Linked DNA regions of Callithrix jacchus. The protein of the gene in region 1 binds, or shares a complex with, the protein of each later gene. Links are inferred from orthologs where the notes say so. Each region holds a gene or a part of one and is shown on either strand. Other genes may lie near its edges.

Region 1 (12,170 bases):
ATCCCTTTTTTTGCTATAGTAATTCCATCCATTCTGTCAGGAAAATATAGGTATTGGAAGCCTGTTGAGCATCCAAGGGATGAAGGGGTGTTAGGCAAGTGCATTCTTATGTTTTTACATTTTGTTCTCTCCTTAGGACCAGCTTTCTCCAGGGAGTCTACCATTCCCACTCCTTTGGCCCCCCTCCACAACAACCACTTCCCCATCTTATCCTCTACTCTGGTCTCCTCTGCCCCCACGGCCTCCCACCCAGCGTCTTCCCCAGGCTCCCCCACTACCTCTCCTTCAGATCCAGGCCCTCAACTCAGCATGGGTGGCTCTCCCTCTAAGAAATGGGGAGGAGGGACCAGAACCTGAGTTGCATAGCGGCTGCCTGGATGGGCTTAGAAGCCTTTTTGAGGGACCTCCCTGCCCCTATCCTGGGGCTTTGATACCTTTCCAAGCCCCTGGAACTGCCCACCCTTCCCCCACCACCCCATCAGGAGATCCTAGTATGGAGGAACATCTGTCTGTCATGTATGAGAGACTGAGACAAGAGGTAAGTCAGTGCAAAAGTGGTCTTCATCTACAGGGGGAAGGGATGTGGGTAATCCTTGGAAGTAGGGAGTTAGTCAACTGGATTCTTTTGGGAACCATGAGAAAGGCATAAAAATGTGTTATAAACATTTTCTTGGCTGGGCTTTGTGGCTCACACCTGTAATCCCAGCACTTTGGGAGACCGAGGTGGGTGGATCATCTGAGGTCAGGAGTTCAAGATCAGCCTGGCCAATATGGTGAAACCCTGTCTTTACCAAAAATACAAAAATTAGCCAGGCATGGTGGCACGTGCCTGTCATACCAGCTACTCCAGGGGCAGGGGGGGGGCGCTGAGGCAGGAGAATCACTTGAACCCAGAAGGCAGAGGTTGCAGTGAGCCAAGATCACACCATTGCACTCCAGCCTTGGCAAAAGAGCAAGACTCCATCTCAAAAAAAAAAGAAAACTGAAAAATAGAATTATGTTTTCTTTCCCACTGGGTCGATGCTGTCTTCTTGCACCTAGCTTCCCAATCTCTTCCTTCAATCCCACGACTACAGTCTGTATTCCTTGGATGTGGAATTCATCAATGAGATCCTCAACATACGTACCAAGTGAGAACTGGGGCACAGGTAGGGCCCTGGGGAGGAAAAGGACCTAAAGCTATACCCTTGACTCTTTTCACTTCCCAGAGAAGTTCCTAGACTGCTTCTCACAGCTGTTCCCCTTCCTTGGACAGAAGCCAGTTTGGTTTTCTAATTCTGCCATCGTTAGATTTTTTTCCTATCCCTTCTTCACAGGGGCCGGACATTGTACATTCTTTCACTGACCCTCTGCCGTTTCCTGGCCTGGAATTATTTTGCACAGCTTCGTTTGGAGGTTCTGCAGCTGACCCGCCACCCTGAGAATTGGACCCTGCAAGCCCGGTGGCGGCTCGTAGGGCTGCCTATCCACTTGCTCTTTCTGCGGTTCTACAAGCGTGACAAAGATGAGCTTTACCGGTAAGAGAGCTGAGAAAGGACCCAAACTATAATCATTCCCTTGTCTTTTTTTTTTTTTTGCGACGGAGTCTTGCTCTGTCGCCCAGGCTGGAGTACAGTGGCACCATCTTGGCTCACTGCAGCCTCTACCTCCCAGGTTCCAGTGATTTTCCTGCCTCAGCCTCCTGTGTAGCTGGGATTACAGGCACCCACCACCACACTCAGCTAATTTTTGTACATTTAGTAGAGACGGGGTTTCACCATGTTGGCCAGGCTGGTCTCAAACTCCGTACCTCAGGTGATCCACCCGTCTCAGCCTCCCAGAGTGCTGGGATTACAGATGATTTAGTCTCCCAAACAACCCTTGACCTATCCTGGCTTGACTGTTCAAGGACAGGGAACTTGTTTTAGTTTACGTTAGTTTTAAAAAATAATAGAGACTGAGTATATTAGAAAAACCTCTGAGCTTCAGTTTCTTCCTATACAGTACTTAGCACATGGTAGGTACTCAAATACTTACTGAACAGGCCAGGTGTGGTGGCTCACGCCTGTAATGCCAGCACTTTGGGAGGCCAAGGAGGGCAGATCACCTCAGGTAAGGAGTTCAAGACCTTCTGGCCAACATGGTGAAACCCTATCTCTACCAAAAAATACAAAAATTAGCCAGGCATGGTGGTGTGCATCTGCAGTTCCAGCTACTTGGGAGGCTGAGATGGGAGAATTCCTTGAACCCAGGAAGTGGAGGTTGCAGTGAGCCATGATCACACTACTGCACTCCAGCCTGGGTGACACAATGAAACCCTGTCTTAAAAAAAAAAGAAAATGTACTGAACAAATGAAAAGTGCTGTTTCATTTGTTGAGCCTTACAACCTGCTAAATTTCTGCCCGGGAGTAGAATCCCAAGAAATTGTTAGGCTCAGCCACAAACATTGGATGTAAGTATTTAAACCAGCAATTCTCAAATTGCTGCACAGTAGAAATACTCAAGGATTGTTAAAAAAAAATATTGACACCAAACACTCTGATTTAATTGGGACAGACACAACCTAAGCAGAGATGTTTGTAAATTTCCCGGGTGATAATATGTAGCAGAATTTAGGAGCTACTCGTTTAAACAAATGCTTGGATTAAGCTTTGGAACCAGTCACCTTCTCCCTCAGTAAGCTTCTCTCTCTGTTCCCCAGGACCTATGATGCCTACTCCACTTTCTACCTGAATTCCAGTGGCCTCATTTGTCGCCATCGCCTAGATAAAGTGAGTTCTAGGTAGGGCTGGGTGAAGGGTAGAACATCTCTGTGCTTCCCCCAACTGGCATTAACCTTTCTCCCTGCAGCTGATGCCTTCACACTCACCTCCAACGCCGGTGAAGAAGCTGCTAGTGGGAGCCCTGGTGGCTCTGGGGCTGTCAGAGCCAGAACCTGACTTAAACCTGTGTTCTGAGTCAGGTTCTTTGGCTTTGGAGTGGGAGCAGCACTGAAGACTGCTATGCCTAAGAGAAGGACATAGAGGCAGCCAAGAATCTCAGGAGCCAGCTTCCTCTCCTCTCTCTCCTTCCTTCCTTTCCATCTCATGCTGTGTAAAGCTGCTGTGTAATTTAACTTGTAAATAATAAAGTTTAACTGACTATATGAGATAGAATTTCTCTGAATCCCAAATGTTCCCACAAGCTTTATTCTAAAAATAATTTTATTTAATAGATATTAAATAATGTATAGAAAGAAAAGGAGCTGGTGTCAGGTTCCGTTCATGTCCTCCTTTCACCCTAGCTCTTCTCGTGTCTTGCCTATTTTTTTGGGCATTTTCTTAGCATGGGGATCTTCTAGCTCCTTGGCCTTATAATAATGGGGAGCCACCTCCAGAAGCCAACTGCTCTCAATCTCCAGTACCTAGGAGAGAGAAAAGAGCAATAGAGTTCTCATCTTTCCAACCTAGATCCTTTTTTATTGTTAAATTTTTTTTTTTTTTTTCTAAATTGAAACGGTTGGCCAGGCGCATTGGCTCATGCCTGTAATCCCAACACTTTTGGAGGCCAAGGCAGGCGGATCACAAGGTCAAGAGTTTGAGACCAGCCTGGCCAACATAGTGAAACCCTGTCTTTAAAAAAATACGAAAAATTAGCTGGGTATGGTGGTAGGCTCCTGTAATCCCAGCTACTCGGGAGGCTGAGGTGGGAGAATCACTTGGATCTGGGAGGTGGAAGCTGCAGTGAGCCTAGATCACATCATTGCACTCCAACCTGGGCAACAGTGTTGCTCTATTGCCCAGGCTGGACTGCAGTGGCTCACTGCAGCTTCCACCTCCCTGGCTCAAAGCAATCCTGCCTCAGCCTCTCAAGTGGCTGAGACTACAGGCACAAATCACAGTGCCCCGTTAATTTTTTGTATGTTGCCTGGGCTGATCTTGGCCTCCCAAAGTGCTGGGATGGCTTACAAGAATGAGCCACCATGCCCAGCCCCAGCCTAGATCCTTCTGTGTGTGGTGGAAAGTTATCTTTCCCCTTTGACTACATGGCAAGAGGTAAAGGTGCCTGGCTCTATTATTATATATCCAAAGGGCAGATACACCTTTATATGTTATTCAAGATACCAAATAAGCTATTCCTAAGAAAAGTCTGGAACATAAAGACTATAAGTACACTTGTGAAACCAGAGACTCTGCTTTGCTCATTATAGCCCAGCACCTATACAGTAGCCATTCAAATATTTATTGAATGAATGTATAGTTCTCAGATCTTGGAAGGTGCTGACACCTGTAAGGAAGGATGTCAGCCAGGCACCGCGGCTCATCCTTGTAATCCCAGCACTTTGGGAGGCCAAGGCGGGCGTTTGAGACCAGCCTAGCCAACATGGTGAAACCCCATGTCTACTAAAAATACAAAAATTTAGCTGGGCATGATGGCTTGTGCCTGTAATCCCAGCTACTGGGAGGCTGAGGCACGAGAATCACTTGAACCCGGGAGGAAGAGGTTGCAGTGAGCCAAGATTACACCACTGCACTCCAGCCTGGGCGACATAGTGAGACTCTGTCTCAAACAAAACAAAAAACAAAAGGATGTCTTTCATTTCACCCTACCTCCCTATTTTTGTATCAGGCTGAGCAACCTGAACCTGGGTTCTTAGCTTGCCAGGACACCTCTCTACAGACTCCACCTGTATGGGCACAGGATGTTCTCACCTGTCTCATGAACTCTTTGGTGGTCAAGACAAGTTCATGGTAGAGCAGCCAGCGTGGCTGTTGCTCAAATAGGGAGGAGTTGGGATGAATGAAGACCGTCTGCTGCTGTTTCACTGTGCGGTAGCCACTCCGAGTCAACCGTGCCGTGTGGTAAAAGTAACCAGCAGTGATGGCCTAAGGGGAAGGCAGGAAAGAAAATCAATGGAAAAGGCAGATATCTGGGGACCCTAAGTGCTCACTACCTTTTTAGTTCAAGCTTTGGGAAAACTAGCGAGGTAGGGAAGGCATGAAGAATCCCCCAGGAATGAACCTTCAGTGGTCTGGGGAAGAAAGCCCTGGGAGGAAATGTGGTACATAAGGGGAAGAGGGCATGTCCTCAGGCTGGAGGAGCTGCTGCATGCCACCAGGAAGCTACTGCGGGTAGAAGGCAGTAGGCAAAAGAAATGCTGACCTTGCGTACACGGATATAGTCCCCCTGGCAGGAACTGAGACCAACTTCTACACGTTCCAAGAGCCCTTCTAGCTGTTCCCGCACATCTCGGGCTCGGCGCATTGATCTGAACTGTACAAAGTTCTCATAGCACCACTGGGAAGAGTAACCACTCTCAGCCCACTGGGAAGAGAGTTAAAAAGAAAGGAGAGGTAGTTAAGTGTACAGCGAGACTGAAGTCCCCCCATGTCTCTTTCCCACTCACCCAAGCCCAGTGACCTGTGTGTAAACGTTTAGCAGAACCAGGTGGTCACCACCAGGAAGGAAGAAGTTGACACGGGCATTGTCAGCATGGACAACCTTGTCCTTTGGCCGGTAGAAGATGGAATTGTTGACAGACAGCATGGCAGCCACTGTCAGGATCTCCTCTGAACAGCTATACCTGGGACAGGAAGGGGAAAGCACGAGTTCAAAGCAAGACACATAAGCACAGATATGGTAGAGGGGGAAGTGACCGCTGTGTGATGGATGTTTCCTCATGTGGGGAAGGCTGGTTGGCATAATGGTTACAAAGCAGCCAGCAGATAGATTCTGGCAGCAGCTTGAGGGTCAAGGAGGTAGGAGCATAGATGAAACACAGTCACAAGGGAGGGATATCCATGGAGGCAGGAGCAGAAAACACTGGGGACTTCTGAGGTTTCTACAGAAAGTGTGCATTCACTATGTGCATTCGGAAAAGATCTCGACAGCAGAGGAATGGCATTTAAAGGTGGTCCCTCCACAGCTACATCTAAATGTTCTAGTTTGAAACCTTGGGAATGAGTAAGTTCCAAAACCAGCCCTCATTCAATAACCCTCCCAGATGGAAAATCTACTTTCGTTCATGACCCAGAATTTTCTGTCAGTCAGTCTTGCCCATTTAGTATAATCAAGGACAGGATCAAGGATCAAGTGTCTTACCCTTGTGGGCCTCAAAAGGGGGCATTCAGAGTTATCTAATAATTTATTATTTATTAAATAATAATATGAAGAGAAAAAGACAAAGAGACAAAGAAGACCCCAGAGACAGAGGAGGCCTGGGGGCCTGGGTGGAGAGGAGGGCTTACTTCTCAGAGGCTAGGATCATTTTGGACAGCATGGGATCCACCGGCAGCTCTGCCATCTTTCGACCAGACTAAGGAGAGAAGACAGAGAGTTGAGCCCGGTCCTCCCTCAGGATTCTCTCCATTGCTATAGGGGTCCCTGGAGCCATCCTGACCCGTATCATCCTGCCCCCACCCATGCTGCCCACCAACTCACCGTGGTGAGCTCCCCAAGGTGGTTGAGGGCTCCCAGGGCATACAGCTGCTCCAAAGCCAGCAGCAGTGTCTCATATGGTGGAGCGTCCAGGAAATCAAAGTGCATTAGGTCATGGATCCCTAGAGAGAGGTGGGAAGGATGGAACAGAATCCCTTCAAAGGACCATGACTCCAGCCCACCTCCCCCTTCTCTCAGGTAGCCCAGTCACCTAAGCTCTTGAGTAGCAACACGACATTGCCCAAGCTAGTCCTCTGGATCTCAGGCACTGTGGTTTCCTCAAGCTCGTGCTGATAGGCCCAGGCAGTATACAGGCGGAAGCACTTCCCTGCAGCCACCCGACCTGCCCTGCCAGCTCGCTGATTGGCTGAGGCCTGGAAAGAAAGGCGAGCAGGCTAGCTGACAATTTGGTTGGGGAAAAGAAAAAGGGCAGTATTTATGCAAGAAATTAAGATGGATGTAAACTGCTCATCCCCGTTTGCTAAGAAGCCCCCACCCTGCTTCTGGAGTTGGACCTTCCCTGTGGACCAATTCTACCTCCCTGACCCCCATGCATCCCCAAGCTGACCTTACTGCAGGGTATGACAGTGAGTGATTCCATTCCTGTGCGGGGGTTATAGCTCTTCTGCTTACAGAACCCTGGATCCAGCACATAAATGATGCCCTCAATGGTAAGTGATGTCTCAGCAATGTTTGTTGCCACAACCACCTGAGTGAGAGGATATGGGGTCACCCAGTGACCCTGCCAACCTCGTTACCCAGAAAAAGTCATCTTGGAAAGTTAGAAGTAGTAAAGCAGTTGCGGTAAGGGGCAGGAGCTGAGGGAATTAGTATCCAAGGTCAAGAGCAAGGGACAAGGACAGAAGACAGGGCAGAGGGAAATGGGGGCTGGGAGTCAGCAGGGGCACAAGGAGGAAAGAAAATGGAGAAGAGGACTTAGGGTGTTAATTTTTTCAGAAGGGGAATGGGAGTGTTCAAGTTCCTGTCCCGTCTTCCTCACCACCACTTCCATCTTCACACAACACTTCCTGTAAGAGCCTTCTAACACATCTCCCTGTTTCTACTCCCAACCTGTCAATGGCATCCAGGATGGTCCTTTTAATATATAAACATGTCATATCACTCCCCATCCTTCAGTGGTTTCCTATCCTACTCTAGAATGCAATCCAATCCCCTTAAAAGCCTGGATCACCTACCCTAGCTGCCTTTCTGACCTCATCTGCTAGCACTCCAACCCCTCCCTCACTCCTCCTGCACACTGCTTTGCTCTGCCCACGTACATGCACTCCTCACTGGATCATTTCATTTGCATCAGCTGTTCCCTCTGTCTGTGGCACTTTTCTCCCAAATATCAGCCTGGCTCCTCCCTCACCTGGTTTGGTCTCTATTCCACTTTCCCTTTACTGAAGGGCCTTCCCTATACCCCAAAACAAATATCTTCATGCCAGTCCTCACCCCCACCTCTCAGGAGTCAAGTTCCATCCTGCTATGCTGCCTTGTATCTCTTCACAGCACTGGCCATAAATTGACATTATGTATTTACGCATCTACTGTTTCCCCAACAGACCGCAAGTACAAGTAGGCTAGGGACTTTGTTTTGTGCATCACTGTATCAACTCATGTGTATCTGGCACCACACAGAAAGAACTCATGAAATATTTGTTGAATGAAAGTTACATCTCTGCTCAAAATCCTTTGATTGCTACTAAGCTGTCTAAAGTCCAAACTTCTCTGGACGTGGTGGCTCATGCCTGTAATCTCAGCACTCTGGGAGGCCAAGGCAGGCAGATGACTTGAGGCCAATAGTTCAAGACCAGCCTGGCCAACATGGCAAAACCCCATCTCTACTAAAAATTAGCTGGTTGTTGGCCGGGCATGGTGGCTCACACCTGTAATCCCAGCACTTTGGGAGGCCAAGGTGAATGGATCACCTGAGGTCAGGAGTTTAAGACCAGCCAGGCCAACCTGGCAAAACCCCATCTCTCCAAAAAATACAAAAAATGAGCAGGGCATGGTGGCATGTACCTGTAATCCCAGCTACTTGGGATACTGAGGCAGGAGAATTGCTTGAACCTGGGAGACAGAGGTTGCAGTGAGCAGAGGTCATGTCATTGCACTCCAGCCTGGGCGATAGAGCCAGACTCCATCTCAAAAAAAAAAAAAAAAGTATTAGCTGGATGTGGTGGTACGCACCTGTAATCCCAGCTACTTGGGAGGCTGAGGCACAAGAATCACTTGAGCCTGGGAGGCAGAGGCTGCAGTGAGCCAAGATCTTGCCACTGCACTCCAGACTGGGTGACAGAGCAAGACTCTGTCTATAAACAATAAATAAATAAGTCCAAGCTCTCCTGTCATCAAAGGCCCTCCCTAATCTTAGCCCCAAATTGTTTTTAGCCTTATCTCCTACTCCTGTACCGCATGAACCTCCCACTAAGCCTACTAGCTGACGTTCTCACCTCAGACGCACCTTGGGCCTTCCACTGATAACTTCTCAGCCATTTTTCTTTTTTGAGACAGAGTCTCACTCTATCGCCCAGGCTGGAACGCAGAGGCACAATCTCAGCTCACTGCAACCTCCGCCTCCCAGGCTCAAGCGATTCTCCTGCCTCAGCCTCCCAAGTAGCTGGGATTACAGGCACCCTCTACCATGCCTGGCTAATTTTTGTATTTTTAGTTGAGACAGGGTTTCACCATGTTGGCAAGGCTGGTTTAGAACTACTGACCTCAAGTGATCCACCTGCCTTGGCCTCCCAAAGTGCTGGGATTACAGACGTGAGCTACTGCACCCAACCTCAGCCATTTCTCTTAAAGGTCCATATCAAATCCCACCTCCTGGCCCATCAAGGACTTCCTATCTCCACTGAATCTACTGTGCTTACTTTGCAGATCACGTATTTGGCTCTCTCTTGGTTCATACGGTATTTCTCCTCTCTCTTCAGCCCCAGGGGTGAGAGAATGGCTCCTCAGCTATGTCTGCAGCAGTGCCCAGGACTCCCCTTGCATGGGGCAGGCACACACCTTTTTCACTACTGTTGTGTGAAGCATAGGTGTGAAGAGTGTGGGTTTCTCCAACTGACCTTTCGTGCCCCAGGTGGTGTGGGCTGGAAGATACGGGCCTGCATGTCGGAGGGCAGGTTGGCATAAATGGGCAGCACCAGGAGCTCCCGGATTTTGGAGCCCAGGCGGCGGCAGCGATCCTGGAGCATCTCACAGGCAGCCTCAATCTCTTCCTGGATAGAGAGTGGGGAGAGCAGCAAGGGTCCCAGGGTCACAGAAGACCAACATGCCAGCCTAGTCCTCCCCTGGGATACATTACCCCCTCTCCCAACCATATCAGGCACCTGTCCTGTCAGGAACACCAGGATATCCCCAGGGGGCTGGGTCACATGGATCTGCAACACAGATACGACACAAGCTTCCAAGTAGTCAGCCTCTGGAGCCTGGAGAGCAGAAAGAGATGGGGTCACAGGAGGGCCACCTGCTTAGGCAAATCGTTCCTCTCCTCCCAACTCAACATACACTTCATCCTAGTTCCCCTTTGGACTTTCCATTCCATCTTTCCCTCCTTGGGATAACCTCCTCCAAAGTCCCCAGCTTTTCCGCTACACACTTAAGCCCATCCTTCCTGAGGGGGCACCTTGGTATAGAAGATGTCCACAGGAAACCTGCGTCCAGGGATTCGAAACACAGGGGCGTCATCAAAGAAGGTGGAGAAACGGGCAGTGTCCAACGTGGCTGAAGCCACCAGGACCTTGAGCTCAGGTCGGAAGCGAGCAACATCCTTGATCAATCCAAAGAGAATGTCTGTGTGTAGGGTCCGTTCGTGTGCCTCATCCACCATCACCACGCTGAAGAGGTAATAGGGGAGCAATGAGGGAGGAGCGCTGGGTTATGCGTTATCAGACACCAGGGTTCCCTGGATGAGAGGGGAGTAATGGACACAAAGAGCTCAAGAATGACTGTTGAGGGAGGGGGCTCTAAGGAGACGCCACCATCCCAGTTACGTAAGACCAACAGAAAGTCAGAGAAGGCACAGCCCCGTGATCTGCAATCTATTCCAGCCTCAGCAGACAATAGGAGCCAAGATGTAGAGGCTGCACACTGACCCAGGACAAGTCAGACATGCCCTCTAGTTCAGTCAAGGGTCTGCTTAGACTCAGCAGCTCTTACTAGAAAAAGTGGAAGGATATGTTTTAAAGGAAAAAAAAAAAAAAAGTGGAGGGCAGGGTCCCCTTCAGTAAGAGGAGGCCACCAAGGCTGGCTGGGGATAATAGACCAGAGCTGCTGTGATTCAGACAGCCCAGAAGCTCCTGGTTTCCTGTGGAACAACTGCCTCTGGCATCCTTCCTGGCTCTGTTTCTTCTTTAGGAAAGAGGAACAAGTTAAGCCTTTCAACCCCAACTCTCAGAGGACTCTGCACATCCCTTGGTTTCCCCCAACTCAGTTAGGTACATGACACCTTCTTTCTCTTTGCTTTATTCTTTGGCTTTTCTGGGTGGCAGCCAAATCCCAGGGACTCATTCCCATCTTCCCCTACCCACCTTCCCAACCTCAACTCTGTGCCTAACCCTAACTGTGATGGTAAAGTCCCCAGCCATTCCACAAAGCACACTGGCTCGATGGGCAAAAACATCTGCATCAGACACTCTTGCACTGGCTGGCTCTCCATGGGTTCTCAGAGATTTTTTGCAAGGGATATGAAGTATCAAGTTCTATCTGTCCAATTGCTCCACTGTGATCTTCCAGGGCCAGAAATTCACAGCCTCTGAAGAGTTGAAAAGGCACATATTGTTCAGCTGGCCTGATCCCACCCCCAATCTCATTCATGAATCCCTTTTCCCCCTCAACACATGCTAAACCAACCCCTGGTTGGCCATTTCCAGCACTAAGAGCTCATTATTCACAGACCAAGCTACCCAAGACTTGTGTGGAGGACCAAGCCCCAGGGTCCAACCACTCTGACAAGCCCTGCAATCTGAGGGTGACTCAGCCATTTTGGTATGGAGCTGGAATCTGTCTCCCTGTAACCTCCCCATGGTTCCTAGCTATGTCCTGTAGGGTCACATAAAACAAGTCTGATCCTTTCTTCCATGTAACAGCTTTCACATATTTAGAAGAACCAGGATGCTTCCCCTGTTTCTCCCTCTGAGTTGAGCAACCCAAGTGTTTTCAAATGTTCTTCGCACAGCATTTTAGTCTCTGCAGCAATGCTCCTCTATTCTGATTGTTTTCTAAACCTTGGAGATGAGTAGGGACGGAAAAAGAGGTTTCTCTACAATCTCTTCTATCCTACAGCCCCATCTCCATGGTATCTGGAGGTCAGTTCAAGGACCATTTGAACCATAAAGGTTCAAGAACTGGTGGATTAATCAGAAGACAATGGCTGATTGGCTAGGTGGGAAAGGAGAGAAAGGCCAGAGATTAGAGATCCGGGAAAGCACTGAGCGGGAGGGAAGCGGCAGAATGTCAGGAAGAGAGTGTGGGCTCTCTCAAGGGAGAGGAGGGCCCTGTACGCACCTGTAACTTGCAAGGTCAGGCTCAGAGAGGAACTCCCGGAGAAGCATCCCATCTGTCATGTAGCGGAGGACAGTTCGCTCTGATGTGCAGTCCTCAAAGCGGATGCTGTAGCCAACCTGGTCAAGGGAATCATTAGCAACCAAATATGGGCTGGTGCACCCTGAAAGGAACTTCGGCAAAGGTGAAGTAGGACAGCACCAAGACTTCTGTGGGGACCTGAGGGCAGTGTAGACTGAGTCACAGATCCCAGTTCCCT
Region 2 (12,170 bases), on another chromosome or scaffold:
CAGAGGCTTTTGCATCTCTTTCATTGCATCCTCCACATTCTGTTGCTGTTGCCGGCTCTGGGCAAGCCTGGGCAAAAACGAACCAAGAGTGTTTGCTACCCTTTATGACATTTCCATTTCTACATGACATGGACCACACTGCTAAATTTGGAGAATTTCCTCTTTCTAGTAGCCTAGGCAAAATATTGAACAGGGTAAAATTCCCAGAATACCCACTGGAAGTGTGGAATATATCAACATCCTACAAAGAAGATTCAGCACACCAAATTTCCCATTACTGATAATAGCTCTGAAGGTATAATAAGAAAGTGAGTGGTCAGAGAGCAGAGAAATGACTTGTTCCAGTCACTGCCATTTTGTTTACCCTTTCAGTGGTTCCCTTACCCTTTTCCCCACTGGGCATACAGCTCATCTCTCTCTGAGTCCTTTTCTGCTTTCCTCCTTTGCTCTAAACGTTCGAGTTTCAAATTCCTCTTACGACCAGACTTATCTCGAAATACAGTTTCAGCATATTGAAATTCAGCTGCAAAGGAAAATTATACTCAAATATCAGAATCAAAATCAAAAACAACATTCTAAGAGATCAAATCAACCGCTTGGGATTCTAATGCTAGATAAGAACTTTTGCGGCCAGATCAAAGTAGTCCCTACTAACGTTTAGGTACACATTGGTGCTGGGCCCAAGAAATGGCATTTTTCTTTTCTTTCTTTTTTTTTTTGAGACGAAGTCTTGCTCTGTTGCCCAGGTTGGAGTGCAGTGGTGCAATCTCAGCTCACTGCAACCTCCGCCTTCCAGGTTCAAGCGATTTTCCTGTATCAGCCTCCTGATAGGTGGGATTACAGCTACACACCACCACGTACAGCTAGTTTTTTTGTATTTTTAGTAGAGACAGGGTTTTACCATGTTAGCCAGGCTGGTCTTGAACTGCTGGCCTCAACTGATCCACCCGCCATGGCCTCCCAAAGTGCTGGGATTACAGGCATGGGCCACTGCGCCCAGCCAAAATGGCATTTTTCAAGAAGGAAAGAAACACTGGGACTTAGTAAGAAGTTATAATGATGCATAAAACCAGAGCTGAAATTTGATAGCAATTAGAAGTTTACAATATCAGGTACAATAAGCTATGTTTTGTAAAAAAGCAACATGAGACTAGATTGGTCTCTGTGCTTTCATATTTTTACCTTCAAATGCCATGGTTTCTTGGTCCTGTTTCTTGAGCTCCTGCTGCTCTCGCTGTATGTCAGTTAACACCAACCCAGTTTTAGCCCCAGAATACATGTATGCAGCCTATGCAATGGAAAAGGGAGCATCCAACATTAATGGGATGATGTGGCAGTAGGCTCCACGGGTACACAGTTAGATGCATTTGTCTCTGATGAGCAGCAATAATTAAACCTAAAACTCTAGCTTTATATTCTCATTAATTATCACGATTCAAAAACCATAAAAGAAAGAAAATCTAATTTCATAAAAAAATCAATACCATCAAGTTTAAGAGTAAACAGAAACACAAACAAACAATATATTAAAGGGAGGGCTATGCATTTGCATTTTTGACTTTTCAGTATAGAAACTGTACACATGAAGATTCTCTCAGGTCATCTGATCAGAAGCCAGTATAAAGCACTAAGTCTTCCATTAGAGACCCACACTGACAAAATACTCCATTTAAAATACAAACTCAAGCAAACCTAAGATCCTCAAATCGTGGATATATTTCAGGGTAATAACAGAAGATCTAACCAAATGAAAACTTTTTGCTAATTTCCACTTAGTATCAAGACAGCAAACCAGCCCACAAATGAAGCACACAGTATATCCTGATATCCTTAAGCAACTATAATATTAAGTTGTCCATTAACTAAATGGATACATAAAATGTCAAGGGGTCCAGCTGAAACAGAGACCTCTTTTTTCCAGAAAAGAGAAGACTCTCACTCCCTGGGTAAAGAAAAGGCTGATCTACCCTACCAGGACCAGTCTTCTCAGACCCTTCTTCAACAGACAAGATTTACCTGGTAAGTCTGCATTGGGGAGAAAAATGCACACCACAGCCTCCATCATTCTGTTTCTTAACCACTCACAAATCAGATTCCTTTACTACTATTAATGTTCTCTACAATAGAATTACTCAAGGTTCATATGGAGTTTTGGGTTTTTTGGCTAATTCATCAAGCTTTATCATGAACTCAGAACAAAACATTAACTTCCCAGACAACATGATTTCTAAAAGTAGTTCCGTATTTTAAGTGTCTCTTCTTAAGCTCTGGATACAGAGACCTATAGGTCAATTTATACTAGTAAATCACCAATACCAGATGCTTACACTAGATGCAGACACTATGCTAAGAGATTTATTTACACTGGCTTAATTATCACAACCTTACACAGTAGGTACTGCTATTAACAACAATTTACAGATAAAGAAACTGAGGTTTAGCGATAATAAGCAACTTGCCCAAATCTCACAGACAGTAAGTGGCAGAAGGAGAATTTCAATATGTGATTTGTTTGACACAATGCTTGTGCCCCAAACTCCACTCTGCAAATTACAGTCCTCAGTTTATTCCTAAGAATATAGGAAGCTTTTCTGGACCTGCTAAAATGAGATTTGTAGAATTAAGAGGCTATAAAAGCAGAAGCGACTTGGGAAATGTGGTATCTATAAATCCACCTGGGCTGGGTTATAGCCAGTTTGCCTTCAGAAAGAAAGAGATCCAAAGGTCCTTTTAACTAAGATTTACTACACTTCTAAAAGCTACATCCTTCTCCTTTGGCTTGATTCTCTGGGACACATATAAAGCTCAGAGAGAAGAGTCATGCGAAAATAAGGACATAGCTTCTGAAAATCCTAACCTTCTTTCCAGGAGGCTGACTCCTTCGAGGTGGGGACAGGTCAGAATCAGAAGATTTGGTCCTCTGTCTCCTCCTTGGTGGAGAGAGGTCAGAATCAGAGCTCCGGTGCCTAGGTCTATTCCGTGGAGGTGACAGATCTGAATCAGAATCCTGGTGCCCTGTACTTTGTTTACGCCATGGAGAAGAACAGTCTGAATCAGTTGCTTTCTGGCAGTCACCTGGATAGAAGGAAAGAATCTGTGTGACTCTGATGTCCTCTAGGTGAAGAACTTACATAAAATCTCCTATGACTGTGAGAAGAACCTCCAAATGAAAGAATTCTTTTTTTTTTTTTTTTTTTTTTTTTGTGAGACAGTCTCAGGCTGGAGTGCAGCAGCACGATCTCAGCTCATTGCAACCTCTGCCTCCTGGGTTCAAGTGATTCTTGTGTCTCAGCCTCCCAAGTAGCTGGAACTACAGGTGTGCGCCACCACAAACGGCTAATTTTTGTGTTTTTAGTAGAGAAAGGGTTTTGCCATGTTGGCCAGGCTGGTCTTGAACACCTGACCTCAGGTAATCTGCCCGTCTTGGCCTCCCGAAGTGCTGGGATCACAGGCTTGAGCCACCATGCCTGGCCAAACAATTCTTTAATCCCCTTGGAAGAATCTAAAAAAAATAACTTACCAAGCTAATATACAATATTTATTTAGTTTTCCTATGAAGAATTCTCATTAACCTAAACATAAGTATGAATGACACAGGAGAAAAGCAAAGTCAGAAACAACTTTTAAGACCAACAGGTAGAAGATGGCATTCTATTACCAAGTGACCAGTGGCTGTAACCGTGTGTGAGATCTCCACACACTCCTCCATGTCAGTTACCCCACCCATGGACAGACAAAACATTTGTATAGTCAGTGCTCCATAGCGTGACAAAAGTCAGAAATACCTAGAATACATTCTGATATCCTCAGACTAAATGATAACAAAGTAGTTTAATTTTAAAATTAAAATAGTTCCTAGAAAGAAAAGAGGGAGTAAAAAATTTCACTGCACAGGCCTAAGTTCTAGTGACTGTATAAGCATCACAAATCACCTCCCAAAGAGCAATCTGCAATATGTATGGACAGTCTTTAAAATGCCCACATCTTCTGACCCAGTAAATCAACTTCTCAGCTTTCTAGGAAACCTATACAGAAGTGGTTGAATTTCCAGGAAATCTATCTAGAAATAGATAAGGAAATAATCAAAAATGGGGACAACACTTTATGTACAAGATGTCTGTTACAGAATTGCAGAAGCAAAAACTTAGAAATAACCAAAAACACTCATTATTAGAAAAATGGTTAAGTAATTTTATGTAATGGAACACTATTAACATCATATTAACATAAAGATGTTTTTATGGCCTGAGGAAGACTATATTAAGAAAAGACAGCAGACAAGATTACAAACGCAATACAATATTCTGCATAGCCAGAGCACAACTATATCAAAAATGCAAATCAAAAACCAGAAAAGATTAAGATGACCCTGGCTGCAACACTAACAATTGCCTCTGAATGACAGAATTTTGTGTCACTTTTCTCTTTATACACTTCTGTACATTCTAAAGCTTCTGCAACAAAAAAAATTGTACTTTTATATGGGGTGGGGCAAGTAAATAAAAAGATATATGAAAACCTTCCTCCCTACCACCGTAATTTTTTAACTCTCCCAACCCCAGCCTCTCACTTTTCAAAACTTTCCCAAAGAAACTCCATTCTTAGACCTTATAAAGCAAGTAAAGGGCCAAAAGAAAGCTCCCAGGGGATACACACATCCCTCTCATGGACAGTCATATGCTCACCTTTGTAATCAAGCTGCTGCTTATCTCCAAAATGAGATTTTGCTTGCTTTTTTCGTGGAGGAGAGAGGTCAGAGTCATACTCATATTTGCTGTTCTTTGGGAGTGTCGAATGAGAGGCTCCTGACTCCTTCCAATGTGAAGAAGTCTTGCTAGAGGCTCTTTCTGGGGCTTTACTACTTTTGGTTCTGGGCAGGGAATGAGTGACATTAGGAGCCAAATCAGGGGAGTCATGACGAGCCCTTCTGAGTTGCTGCATGTTTGAAGAGGCAAGAGTCCTCCTAGGTTGAGATGTGTTAGGGGAGTTGTTATGGGCCCTTCTGAGGGGAGAGGTATCTGAGAAATCATGATGGGCTCGCCTAGGAGAGGGATCTGGTGAATCATGACGGGCTCGCCTAGGAGGAGAGGGATCTGGTGAATCATGACGGGCTCGCCTAGGAGGAGAGGGATCTGGTGAATCATGACGGGCTCGCCTAGGAGGAGAGGGATCTGGTGAATCATGACGGGCTCGCCTAGGAGGAGAGGGATCTGGTGAATCATGACGGACTCTCCTAGGAGATGCACCTGAAGAATTATGCTGGGGCTTCCTGGGGGGAGAAGGATCGGGAGAATCATGACGGGCCCTCCTTGGGGGTGAAGTGTCTGAGGTGTCATGACGGATCCTCCTGGGAGATGTGTCTGAGTCATGACAAGCTCCTCTGAGGAGAGAAGAATCTGGGGAGTCATGACGGGCCCTCCTAGGAGACGAATTCGGGGTATCATGATGGACTCTCCTAGGAGATGAATCTGGGGTATCATGACGAAAATGCCCATGTGAGGGTAGGTCTTCATTGTGGCCTAAACACAAATAACAAATAGTCAGATTCCCACAAATGCTCTGTCCCTCTGTCCCCGCTTCACACCCAGTTTCAAAAGATGCTCCAGCAGCACATAACCTCAGAACTGCTCAGAAAGCCCAAAAGTCCTGTAGTTTCCTTGCTTAGGAGCAGCAAACCAGCACTCATGAATATCTTAAGAATAACCTGTCTTATTTGCCTACTAAGTCATAAATGTGCAAAGTATTTCCAGTACATTTTTTATATTATACCCTATAAGACAAGCAGGGCAGGTACCCTTGTATTACAGCATGATGTTTTCAGCTGAGGAGCTGAGTGATTTCTGACCTAAGGTCACAGCTACTAAGATGAAGATACAGGCTAGAATCCAAGTCTCCTAACTCCCAGTCCAGTGCTCTTTCTAAAACCTCATTTGTGCAGTTACCAGACAGTGGCTCCTACTGATATTTAGCCCAGATACTTTATAGTTCATACTCACCCTTCTTTCAAAAGGTAAATTGACTAAACCAACGAACATCAAAATAAAATGCTGTTAACTATTTAATCCATTTCACTGTGTTCTTTGTTAGAGAGGGGAAAAATCACCACCGGGAAAAAAGAAAAAGGAACAAGCATTTACCAATCACCTACTGTGTGCCAATGTAGAGATTACCTGATTCAATTCTCTTAACAAGCCTGGGACGTAAATATTGTTATTTCCATTTTACACATGAGGAAGCTGATACTCAGAAAGATTAACTTGCCCAAGTCATACTGCTAATAAGTGGTGGAGATATATTTAAATCCAACTCTATTTGACTCCAGAGTCCATAGACTCTGTGCAATCTTTAAAATATGTAAATCTTTAAAGTGAAAATACATAGTTTGAGACTTTCCATTTTCAGAGGCACCGCAGAATGAAATATCTACAGCAACTGGAACAGTTTCAAATTCCAGTTCTTCCTCTACCTCTATTTCTTGTCATTCAGCTCCATAGCCCAAATACAAATAACAGCTAGGTAGGACCTGATGAATACTTGTTAAATAGATTAATTAAACCAAGTCAACCCCTTTAGCTTGGGTAACAGGCCTATCTGATTCTAATCCACTCCACAGAGAGAAGTATGATGTCTGTGGGGGCCTAACAGCAAATCTAAAGGAAGTAAGGGTCGGAGACTGGTGAGCATATTTCCAGTAACAAATTGGGATAGGGAAGTGAGAGTAAGGCAGAAGAAAAGGAAGGGGGAGGGAGGGTTGGAGAGGGAGAGGGAAAGGGAGGGGGGGGATGGAGGGAGAGAGAGAGAGAGAGAGAGAGAGAGAGTATGTATGTGTGACTTTCCACACATTCAGTTACAGAAGAAAAAGCACTGTGTGTGTGCAAGTTTGTATGTCTTTCTAAACATTCAGATACAGAAGAAGAAGCACTGTGTGTGTCTGTGTGTCTTCCTAGACAAACAGATATAGAAACCAAAAGATTTTCTTTGGAAAAGAATTCCGATTAGGCTACAAAAATCAAATCCCTACTAGCAATTCAACAATTCTACAACTATTTACTAGGTAGCTCCTTGTGCTAGACAGAGGAACATCACGGCAAATAAGACTAGACTATGCTCAAACAGATGTGATAAACAAATGCTTTTTATCCAATTCTCAAGGACTCACATTTTTTTTTAAGACGGTTAAATTATAAATATTAGCTTAAGAAGAGTCTAGAATGGGCAAGTGGAGGGTAATGCACTGTAAAATGCCAATATTTAAGGAAAGAAGAGAGAAATTTACTAACACAAATAAACAGAACAAAAAACATTGGTCCTTGACCCTCCCAGAAATGAGCTGCTTCATTGTGGAAGAGGATAGAGGTGGCTAATGTCTCCAAATTCTGTTCCTGTTTCTTGTAAACTCCCCCCAAGTCTTGCCTATATCAAGTGCTCTCCTATTCTGGGTCAAAGAGGAATGGGTACTCAAAGGCCTCCAAATTAGTCACTGACCTCAGTAACCCTGATGCCAAAATATAAGAGAAAGGAATATTTGGTCTCTAAGTTCCCATGTCTTACTACCTCTGAAGAAGTCCAAATTCCTTTTTCCTGCTATATTTTTCAGCATCAATGACAAGCTAAAACAAATTATGCATTCTTCTAAAAGAAAAGTATAGGAAAAGAAAAAAGACCTCCCCTACTAATGGAAATTTAGATGTGCCTTTTGTTGGAACTCACCTCCCAGAAGCTTCCATTTGGCACTGGAACGAAAGGCCTCCATCTGCTTCACCTCTTCTGGTCGCTCATCCACAAACTCTGCCACCTGCAGGAGTAAAGATTTACTATACTGAGGAAATTCACAGGATCCAACCAAGAAGCATTGTCTCAAGAATCTGAAGTTACAACTATTCCGATTCCTAACATAAGGGCACACACATATCCAAAACGGTCATGAAGAAATAAGTAGGAGTCTTCAGTTACGTTTGCTCCATAAACATCTGATTGTCACTGTCTTGGTTGAATTGTAGATCCTTCTCTAACTAATCAATTTCCCTGCAAAGGTTAATTTCTTTCATTACAAACCTTTTTATTAACCTGCTAGGTACACAACAGCCACTTGTAAGCTAACAACAAAATTCCTTTTACATTTTTACTTTTACATTAAGAGTGAAAACATAGGTGGCCCTCCTCATCATGCCTAGAACTAATCAAGGACTTTGGGTTTCTATAAAACCTTTCTTGTTGTAGGTAGTCACAATCGTAGGTTTTCTTGAATACAACCAAAAAGAGCCACTGAGATGTACACAGAATCATTAATCTTTAAGAGCTAAAACTACATGTCATATCTTCCAAACTTCTGAACAAATCAGAATCTTCCCTAGAGTATTCCTAATAAATGATCACTCACCCAATCCCTTCCTGACAAGGAACTGATTATCTTACAACGTAGTCCACTGCACTTTTAAAAAATGTTAGAAAGTTCTTAGTTTTATTGGGCCCACATCTACCTTCCTTTTTTTTTTTGAGACAGTCTTACTCTATCACCAGGCTGGAGTGCAGTGGTGCAATCTGGGCTCACTGCAGCCTCCACCACCCGGGTTCAAGCGATTCCCCTGCCTCAGCCTCCTGAGTAGCTGGGACCACCACGCCTGGCTAATTTTTTGCATTTTAGTAGAGAAGGGGTTTCAACATGTTGGTCAGGATGAGCTCTATCTCCTGACTTTGTGATCCACCCACCTCAGCCTCCCAAAGTTCTGGGATTACAGGCGCCCAGCCCCATATCTACCTTCTTATAACTTCCTTGAATTGATTCTAGTTCTGACCTCTGATGCAACTGATCCCCTTTCCACATGACAAACGTTCAGTGTTTGCTGGCACAATAAATCCTAGTTACAGAGTAGCAACTATGCGCAAGGCACTGTGGTTTGTGTTTTACTCATATAATCTCATATATTTCTCACAATAGCCCTGCAAAGAAAGGTTCTACACTACTGAATAGCAAACTGACTCAGAGAAGTAACTTTCTCAATGTCACAAGCTAGCAAGTGGTGGAATTGAAATTTAAATCCAGATCATAGCCGGGCATGGTGACTCAAACCTGTAATCCCAGCACTTTGGGAGGCCAAGGCGGGTAGATCACCTGAGGTCAGGAGTTCAAGACCAGCCTGACCAACACGGATAAACCCTGTCTCTACTAAAAAAAATGCAAAAACTTAGCTGGGCGTGGTGGCACATGTCTGTAATCCCAGCTACTCAGGAGGATGAGGCAGGAGAATCACCTGAACCTGGGAGGCGGAGGTTACAGTGAGCCAAGATTGCACCATTGCACTCCAGCCTGGGCAACGAAAGCAAAACCCCGTCTCAAAAAAAAAAAAAAAAAATCCAGATTATAATTGCCCTCTACTTCTCCCAAAATCCTACAGTCATTCTTCATATAACCCAGTTTTGAGATCGCTCACTGAGCATTAAAAGCACAGGTTTCAGGCAAGATGAATTGAGATCTAAACCCCAGCTCTGCCACTTAGCATTTGTGTAACTTTTGGTAAACTATTCTAAGCCTCAATTTTCTCATCTGTAAAAGTGGGATTCAAAGGATTACTGTAAGGATTGAATGATATAGTTCATGTACACTTAGCCATGCTTGGTATATGATAAATGCTCAATAAATTATACCTATTAGTTATTCCTGTGCTGCCACTGCTATTACAAATAATCAAAATCATTGTGCCATTATTAATGGTGGTGGTGGTAATCTTGCAGTAACAAAAATGAATTCAATAATCAAGATTTGTTTTAACCAATGCAGAGAGGACTGGCACTAAAGCCTCCTTTGTTTAGGTTTTTGGGCCATCATAAAAGCAAGACAATATTATTAAAGAAAATGGCCAGGTGTGGTGGCTCATGCCTGTAATCCTAGCACATTAGGAGGCCTAGGTGGGAGGATCACTTGAGCCAAGGTGTTCAAGACCAGCCTGGGCAACACAAAGAGACCTCATCTCTAAAAAACTAAATAAATAAACAAAATTAGCCAGGTATGGAGGTACACACCTGTGGTGCCAGCTACTTGTGGGGCTAAGGTAGGAGGATTGCTTGAACCTGGGAAACAGAGGCTACAATGAGCCATGATCACACCACTGTACCTCAGCCTGGGCACCAGAGCAAGACCGTGTCTCAAAAATGATAATAATAATCATTTGACAAAGTAGGCAACCTGGCATTCTCATTACCTCTAGTGGGAGTGTAAACTGGTAGCACCTTTTGGAAAGCAATACGGGACTATAACGAAAAAGAACCGTATCCTTTGATCCATTCATTTCATTTTATGGAATAAAGAAATAAACTGATTCTTACAATGATTTATGATATTTTAAAAGTTGAAACAATCCATGTATCCAGTAATAGGGCAGATTAAATAAATATATATATTGACCTACTATGTAACCATTAAAAATCATACACTCAAAGAATATTTTAAGGTCTTACGAAAATATCCACAACCTATTATTTAGCAGAAGAGCAGATTCCAAAACCATATGTACAGTATGATCCCAATTATGTTAAAAAAAATAAGATACAAGCATGTATAATCACTAAAGAGAAAAACCTGAAGAGATACGCATCCAAATGTTAGCAGTTATCTTTGGATGGTCATAATATAAATGGTTATTCTTTTAAAAACTTTAAACTTTAATTCCCAAATATTCTGTAATAAATATGCATTGTTTTTACAAAATTAAAAACAACAACAAACATTGTTAATATTAATTTGTTCTGACCAAAACTAAATTGACTCCCTGAGATCACTATTTCCCTTCTAATCACTAGCAAGCCCTCTTTTAAACAATCTGTTTTAGAATTTTGCTGGGAATTAATGTTAAATATGCATCTGGAATCCATCTTTACTATCTTTAGTGCAATTCAGCCTATCAACAGCTCTCCTTTCCACTTTGTTATTAAGAAATTCTCAGCAATGGTTTCAGGAACCACTGGGAGGTCAATTGCCTATGATTTTGTCCACATGGCTCTTACTTATCCTTCAAAACTCAGTTAAGATATTTACATCTTTCAGGATAGCTCAACAGAACACTAAGTGTGCTATCTCCCCTGGGCTCTAATGGTACTTGGTATATATGTGAAATATATCCCCAACACTTACCATACTGTTAAAATGTATTTGAAATTCAGTTTTTCATTCTAGGGTATAAACTCTAAAGCACATTCATCTACGAATCTCCAGTTCCTATGCAAGAATACACAACTTGAAAGCTTAGTTAAATCAATGAAAAAAAGGAGCAAATAAGAAGTTCCCTATAATTGAACCTCAACACTGTTTTTAAGGAAGATTCCAACAACAGCTAATTCTCATCATTAGAACCACAGCTACTTCTCATCATGACTCTATCACTGATGTTGAGGAGTTCTCACTCTCTGTTAACCATCTCATTTCTAGGCTGATGGGCCCTCCATAAAGAGAGAAGTTGGTGTACAGGCATTATCAAAGATAATTATTTAAAACAGCTCTTTGGAAACTGTCACCTATTTTCTGTTCTCAACTATCCCCCCTACAAATTTACCCTGAGCTGGGAAAAGAAATTGAGAAGCTTGGCCAGGCGCAGTGACTCACGACTGTAATCCCAGCACTTTGGGAGGCCAAGGCAGGTGGATCATTTGAGGTCAGGAGTTCAAGACCAGCCTGGACAACATGGTGAAACTCCGTCCCTACAAATATACAAAAAAAAATAATTAGGCACGATGGCGGGTGCCTGTAATCCCAGCTAATGGGGAAGCTGAGGCAGGAAAATTGCTTGAACCCAGGAGGCAGAGATTGCAGTGAGCCAAGATCACTCCATTGCACTCAAGCCTGGGCAACAAAGCAAGACTCCATCTCAAAAAAAAAAAAAAGAGAACCTTGCTTCATTTCAAAATCCTGACAGCCCCAAAGACACATACCACAGGCAAATCTCCATCATCTTCCTCTTCCTCCTTTTCTGGTTTAGTTGTGGAGATAGCTGTCCAGCTCACATCATCATCCACAATCCGCATTCTAAATGAGAAGAAGAAGATGATCAAAGTCATTGTAGGATATCAGCCTAAAACCACTCGTCTACTGGTTTTAAAATAAAGTTCAAAATCCTACAGGATCCTGCATGGTCCAGTCTTTGTCTACATGGGTGAATTTCATCTCGTACCACTATTTC

What was found.
Region 2: DHX16 (region 1) and BUD13 share a complex: the UniProt entries of both Homo sapiens proteins name them as parts of the minor spliceosome. The link is inferred for Callithrix jacchus from reciprocal best matches to the Homo sapiens genes DHX16 and BUD13.

The regions. Positions count from the first base shown.
Region 1 is NC_133505.1:35,446,392-35,458,561, forward strand, and holds the end of DHX16 (pre-mRNA-splicing factor ATP-dependent RNA helicase DHX16), read right to left. Parts: intron 12,031-12,170; coding exon 11,915-12,030; intron 10,246-11,914; coding exon 10,035-10,245; intron 9,838-10,034; coding exon 9,739-9,837; intron 9,628-9,738; coding exon 9,475-9,627; intron 7,107-9,474; coding exon 6,966-7,106; intron 6,772-6,965; coding exon 6,609-6,771; intron 6,520-6,608; coding exon 6,401-6,519; intron 6,276-6,400; coding exon 6,208-6,275; intron 5,544-6,207; coding exon 5,381-5,543; intron 5,285-5,380; coding exon 5,123-5,284; intron 4,846-5,122; coding exon 4,672-4,845; intron 3,384-4,671; coding exon 3,255-3,383; 3' UTR 3,153-3,254; downstream 1-3,152. Other genes in the region: C4H6orf136 (uncharacterized protein C6orf136 homolog), read left to right, coding at 137-538, 1,042-1,130, 1,317-1,517, 2,682-2,751, 2,831-2,974. UniProt on the Homo sapiens protein: Required for pre-mRNA splicing as a component of the spliceosome. Contributes to pre-mRNA splicing after spliceosome formation and prior to the first transesterification reaction.
Region 2 is NC_133511.1:16,400,791-16,412,960, forward strand, and holds part of BUD13 (BUD13 homolog), read right to left. Parts: intron 12,017-12,170; coding exon 11,923-12,016; intron 11,692-11,922; exon of another isoform or gene 11,597-11,691; intron 7,796-11,596; coding exon 7,711-7,795; intron 5,520-7,710; coding exon 4,686-5,519; intron 3,076-4,685; coding exon 2,858-3,075; intron 1,289-2,857; coding exon 1,183-1,288; intron 524-1,182; coding exon 385-523; intron 68-384; coding exon 1-67. UniProt on the Homo sapiens protein: Involved in pre-mRNA splicing as component of the activated spliceosome. As a component of the minor spliceosome, involved in the splicing of U12-type introns in pre-mRNAs.